2 separate regions of the Mus musculus genome follow, and region 2 is reported to be linked to region 1. The links are microRNA targets in miRTarBase. Many come from high-throughput screens and were not tested one by one. Region 1 holds a microRNA gene; the other region holds the end of a gene's coding sequence.
The links. Region 1 holds the annotated microRNA mmu-miR-653-5p (GUGUUGAAACAAUCUCUACUG, at 1,272-1,292, opposite strand). A microRNA usually pairs through its seed, bases 2 to 8, with sites in the 3' UTR of a target mRNA and lowers its output. Matches are read on the target gene's strand: a 7mer-m8 pairs with bases 2 to 8, a 7mer-A1 pairs with bases 2 to 7 and ends in A, and an 8mer does both.

Region 1 (3,532 bases):
TATCACTCTATGGTTGAATAAGAGAACACAACTCTCAACACTTTCTCATTCAGTGGAGAGATGAAGGCATATCCAAATATAAGGACTGGGGATAGTGATTCCCAAAGGGCCTAGGTATTTGGTCCATACTACTGAAAAGGATGATTCCTGGGGGAAGGGGATATTGAGTCAAAATCTTTGTAGGGGAAGATGAATCCTGTTTTAGACATGCCCACAAGTTAGCTGGGTAGAAACTGTTTACACGGTGAAGAGGGTAGATACTTCTAAGTATTATAACACTTCTACCATTTGAATATTGATTATTTAATATTTAATGCATTATAGATGTATGACATCAGGGAAATTGATGATCCTCATAAAACAATTAACCATGTGTGGCCCCTTTAACCACATCACAAGACACAAGTCCCTGTCAAGACTCATCTCTCAGTGACTTTCAGTGAGAGGAATTTACTGACGTTGGCAAGCTGAACATTCCTAAGAATGAAGTCCTGAAGCAAACAGGTGTGAATCCTGCTCCTGTGGAGCTTAGAAAGACACACTACGCGTGCTCCTGACAGGAGAGACTACAATCAACCACCTCCCCTCAGGACATTCTCAGATAGAATTTGTTTTTGTTCAGCTTATTCTTTTCTGTAAAAGAGATCCCTTATTTGTGTTTGTGTTTTAACGCTTAATTTACTCATATTTGTATGAATGTATGTGACTGTATTTAAAAAGCCTAAACTAATATGACTGAACCACTAAAGAAGGGAGGATGACAGTGCCCTTGTGGGACAGCTATTCAAAGTTTATCTATTTGGAAACCATTTGCAGGCTCACTTGATATGTGGGCTACCTGCTCATTGTCTTCTAATCAAATTAAAAGCTGGGATGAGGTATGTGTATACACACACATACACACACACACACACTTTTACTCTTTTTTTTAACTACAAGTTTTAGACATTAGGAATTATTTTCCTTAGGTATCTTTCCAGAACCATATTCTAAATTCTATCCCTGTACGTTTTGGCAACTCATTAAGAAATATTCTTGTAACAACTGGAAATTCATGGGAGCCTGAGGGAAACACTATGTGTAAGGATGCTAAATAGAAACACTCTACACTTGTGTTTTCAGCAACATCTTTATTAGGTTTGACACATTGTAACATCAGTAGGAGTGGGGATAACATGAGGGAGGTATTGGTAGCTGATTGGGGCAGCTTCACACTTAGCACTCCTGCAATACTGAAACAAACTCCAGTGAACTCGCTTTGGAGCTTGGTTCAGTAGAGATTGTTTCAACACTGAAAGAATGAAATCTCAGAACCTCTGTTATCAGAGAAGCCACAGAATTCTGGGCTGCTTCCAGCCTGGTCCTTGCTTGGGCATTGAACTCTCTAATGACCTTCTTCCTAAATAACATGCACCTTGAAGTACTTCATTTACAGATGGGTGGATGGATAGATAGATGATAGACAGGCAGATAGAAATATACATTATTTTTCTAATAATGAAATTAGTACTACTTAAGATTGAATTTATATATAAACATTTTACATTGTTAATTAAACTTTTCTGATAATTTCATGCAAATAAAATTGCTAATGAGATAGCATTATTTTCAACAGTAATAAGAAAAACTAAAGCCAGCAGTGATATCATGAGACAATCAAGCAATATGCATCACATGAAGCAATTTGACTAATTTATTATTATTGAGCTTATGATGCAACAAATATATAATGCCATGCTTATATAAAGGTGACAATGACACACAAACATGTCACATGTCTTTAAAAACTAACCAACACACAAGCCTATATCTTACTTGTTGTTCCATGTAACAGTTTAGCTGCCATATATGTGGTGTCATTCTGGAAGACTTTAGAAAGTGTCATCACACATATGACAACCAAGCTGCCACTGCAGCAGTTAGCAGCAGATGAGGCGTCACCAGGTCCTGTTGTAGGTTCTGAAAACTCAGCAGTACATTTGCTAGCATGGTTTCTGCCCTCATGGGGCTTACATTCTAGAAGGTTTAATTCATAATGATCATGACGTACAGAAGGAAATGGCCTCAGGTGACATGACTTTGTGCTAGGGTCAATCCTACTTTGATATGAGTTAATCAGTTTGCTTTTGGGTTACCAGAGGTTTCTAAAAGTACCATAATAATGAGAGCCTGTTCTAGAGTGTTGTAAGCAGTCCTCTTGCACTTAGATCAGGTTCACCAGATCCATGGGTAATAGGGACATGGATTCAGACCATACTGTTGAAGGTGATGTGATGGTGTGTCCATAATTTTGATACAAATTTACACCAATAGAGTGTTCTAAGGCAATTACACCTCTAACTAGCCAAATCTTTATGAGTAAAGAAACATGAAGTTATATAATATGAATCTGAACTTAAAAGGCACAAAAGAGTTACAGAATACCAGTGATTCCTAAAGTACTGAAGATTCTTAGTTTTGATCAGAAATTCATTGGAGAGAAATCAAGGGCTAGAGTGGCAGAGTTCAGATGTTTTAAAAGCATTGAAGAGCCCAGAAGCCACAATCCAAATCCACATTTCAAAAACATGTAAAAAATGTATACAGGCTGTCTGTACTATGAATCTGACACAAATTATTATGAACTTCCCCAAACAAATGGAATTTAATTGTTCGGATAAATTATGACAATAATCAAAATGAGCAAACATCCAAAGGACATTTCTCACATCCTTCAAGAAGAATGACAGTTTGGAGAAGCCCAGTTTTGGTTTCCTTTCAGTTGCCAGTTCACCCACACTCAGACACTCCTCTCTACTCTCCATGACCATTAACAGGAAACAGAACAATCTTCACTCACCACTAGGAGCAGGAGCAGCAGGGTGAACCTGTTCACGAGAAGGAACCTCATCTTCGGTTTGCGGAGATTCCGCCTTTTCCTGGAAAAAGAGTAATGAAGATGTAAAATGGTATAGCTCTCAGATCTTTACCCTGTTCCCTCTCCAGATGCACTACATACAATGGCATGGAAACAAGACTATTATGCCTGTGACATACCTGCATGTACATGTTTCACTGTTCCTTTTGTCAAGTGGGCTGTTGTCTATAAAGCGCTATTAAAATTTCTGACCATATCTATTGACATTTTCATCAGCTAAAGTGAGATTTCCTGGCTTTAAAAGGTATTAAGTTGAACGAAACAGTTTAATACAGGTTATAAGAAAAATGGCAAGATCTATTTTGAACATGGGGGATGGAAAGCCAAGTGAAAGATGTATGAAGAAGGAAATCAGCTAATGAAATACATTTTTAAGGTATCAGTCAGTATATAGGTACAATTTTAGCACTAGCTTGAAAATTGGTATAATTTATTATTATTCATCAAGTTTAGCAAGCCATGTGTGCTATGTGATAAAATAAACTATAGGACACAAAATAAAATTCCCACCAGAGCATTTATCAATTTAAAACTGATTTTCAAGACAATCTTGGTATTTTTAAATTAACTGATCTGAGAATCTAAGTATTGCAGTTGATATATACATACTACAGA
Region 2 (3,000 bases), not on the chromosome of region 1:
AGATGAGCCTAGAGCTGAGAGTGGGGGGATGTACGACTTCAATGTGGGTGTCTGGCAGACTTGAGAGGAACTGAAGAGAAGGTGGCCTGCCTCTGCATGATGGTCTTTATGCATGTGCTGGGTTGACGTGTTTCTTTCTGGGAGACATAGCTAACAGCACACGCTCAGCGGAGGAAGCTTTAGCATGCTAGGTCTTGGTGCTGGGAGTGGTTTGAAGAAGGTATTAACATTCCCTTCCTTCGTCTTGTGTTTGCTCTTCCCTGGCAGGTCCACAGATTCCTGGAAGAGGAAGTGCGCCCCCTGCTAAAGCCCTATGGGAATGAGATGGCGGTGAAAGCAGAGCTGTGTCTGTAGAGTAGGAGAGCTGAGGAGAACCCGGTTACAGTGATTAGAGCTTGCTGATTACAGTGTTAGAGTTACTACTGTGTTCTGCGGCACTCCTTTACACACTCAGGAGGCAGAGGCAGGCAGATCTCTGAGTTCAAGGCCAGCCTGGTCTACAAAACAAGTTCCAGGACAGCCAGAGCTACACAGAGAAACCCTGTCTCAACAAACAAACAAACAGAGGCTGGGGACATGGCACTGACTGCTCTTCCAAAGGTCCTGAGTTCAAATCCCAGCAACCACATGGTGGCTCACAACCATCTGTAATGAGATCTGATGCCCTCTTCTGGTGCATGAAGACAGCTACAGTGTATTCATATACATAAAATAAATGAATCTTTAAAAACAAACAAAAAGAATGTACATTAAGTTCTCTTGCTTGGGGTTCACAACAGATAGCCGTGCTTTCTTGTTTTCTCCAGTCTTTTGTTGTTGAGACAGAGTCTCAATGTGTATCATTGGCTGACCTGGAACACAGAAATCTGCCTCATCTCCCCAGTGGCAGGATTAAAGGTGTGCTCCACCATGCCTGGCTGTTTTATATTTTTTACAGCAACATAATCTTGCAGAATAATGTAGCTCATACTTATTTTCCAGATGCCTTGAGTCTACAATGTTTCCTCACTTACAGTGAGATTGTGTCACCATAAGGAAATGAGTTCAGTTCACCTATCAAACATTGTTATGTGCTCATAACACTTGACAGTAACTTCTGGTCCAAGATCCCCTAACAAACTGTATTAGTAATACAGTCAAATGCCTAGTGTTGTTTACTGAGTCCTATGCAGGTACACTTTGCCACACACTAGGCTAGACTCTTCCTGTAGTCCTTTTCAAGTATTTACTTGATTGTAAAGTAGCAAGAAATTCCTGGATTCATGAGTCACATCATCAGATCCCTTGATTTCAATTCTTTCTGCCCAGGTTAAATAATATTTAACCTGACGTTTGTAGCTAAGGATGGATATTGTTGGGTCCCTCAGGTGCCTATTCCATCTTTTACAGAGGTTGCCTTCTCAGGACAATGCTAACTGGGTAAACTGATTGCATTATGGAACCTCCCAGCCTCTTAGCCTTGTTAAGTAGATAGGTAGCTATTTGGACAAGCTAGTCAAAAGGTGAGTTATGAAAAGACCAAGACCAGCCGGAAGAGGAACATTCGCCTTGCCTTGGGCTGTGTATTTTGGTGTGTTGGTGTGTGTGGAATTGAAGGGCTGGCAAGATGGCTCAACTAGTAAGGGCCTGTTGTGTTGGGGGTGGGGGGAATCCACAAACTTGTTCTCTGACCTCCACCAATAATAGTGAAGTGGTTTAAGTGAGCAAAGCTGTTGTGGTAGCACATAACCGCTAGAAGCTGCCCAAGCCTGCCGTGGTCACTTACACTAGGTGGCCCCAACCTTTGCTCCTAGTCCCCCGTCCCCTTCAGAAAGCCCAACTCTTTGGCCACCCCTGCCCGGCCAGAGCTCTGTAGATCTCTGCAGATGAGAGTCTGGTACACAGACCAACATACACAGTTTCAGGGCAGTCCAGAGACTGCCACAAAACAGACATGAAGATTCTGTTGATCAGATTTTTAGTTGACAAGAACTAGGAGAATTAAGCAACTTGGTAACAACTGAGATTTCATCTGGCAAGGATAAATGTAAACAAACCTTAAACTCCGTAGCAGCCAGGAAACATGGTAGTAGTGTCCTGAAAGGTCACCTGATAATATGCCACATTCAGTATTTGTTCAATCTTGATTGGATCCAAAGAGAAACCTCTGACTTTAAGACTCCAGCATCTTTTGAGGTCTTAGTGTATGTGGACTTCTCCATGCTGGCCTTGAAATGTACCTCAGCCTCCAGGGTGTGGAGGTGACAGGTGTGCTGTTTGGTAGACTGATCCAGCAAGAGTGACCTACAACCCCAACCTCTGTCTAGGAAGGAGCTAAAGACAATGTTGTTGTCAGGAGTGTTTGTCTAAGTCTGTGCTCGTAGGTATCCAGAATCTCAACTTGTCTTAATATCCCAGCACTAAGGAGGCTGAGGCAGGAGGATTGCCGTGGAGATAATTCCCACAGACTACATAGTGTACAGATTGAGATAATCAGTGTTTAAAAAAAAAAAAAAATCTGTCTCAGTGGTACCATGCTGACTTGGCCCTCCTTCAGTAAAGGAATCCTGCAGCAAAGCCAGAGGTGCAGAGCATCTGTCAAATGTCAGTGATTGACACTGGGTGTCTTTTACTTTTTTTTTTTTTTTTTTTTTTTTTGGTATTTCAAGAGAGGGTCACTGTGTGGCCCTGGCTGTCCTGGAACTCACTCTAGACCTGGCCTTGAACTCAGATCCACCTGCCTCTGCCTCCCAAGTGCTGGGATTAAGGGCTTCACACTGGGCATCCTCATCCCTTGCCCACCTTGGTTTTGAGACAGTCTCATTGAGCCCAACACCTGTCCTTTCCACTTAGTAGACTCTCTAGTAGGCCTCCAGGATCTCCTGTCTCTATCTTCCTGTGGTCCTGGCATTCCCAAGTTCACACTTCTGTGCCTGGCTCTTTTGTGGTTGCTGAGGGTCAAACTGCAGATCTTTGTACTTGCATAGTGTGGGGGTCTCTGCAAACACCATGGCCAACAGT

Region 2: the mRNA of Adsl is a reported target of mmu-miR-653-5p. Seed matches in the 3' UTR shown: 7mer-A1 at 547-553.

The regions. Positions count from the first base shown.
Region 1 is chr6:3,720,084-3,723,615 of GRCm38, forward strand. Mir653 (microRNA 653) reads right to left here and starts at 1,302; the gene lies at 1,218-1,302. Calcr (calcitonin receptor) reads right to left here. Exons shown (of 16, transcript NM_001377018.1): 4 at 2,840-2,918. It overlaps Mir489 (microRNA 489), which reads right to left and starts at 1,920; the gene lies at 1,814-1,920.
Region 2 is chr15:80,968,395-80,971,394 of GRCm38, forward strand. Adsl (adenylosuccinate lyase) reads left to right here. Exons shown (of 13, transcript NM_009634.6): 13 at 268-2,553. The coding sequence ends at 354. Among named protein-coding and RNA genes, the nearest start is that of Sgsm3, 7.9 kb to the right of the region's middle.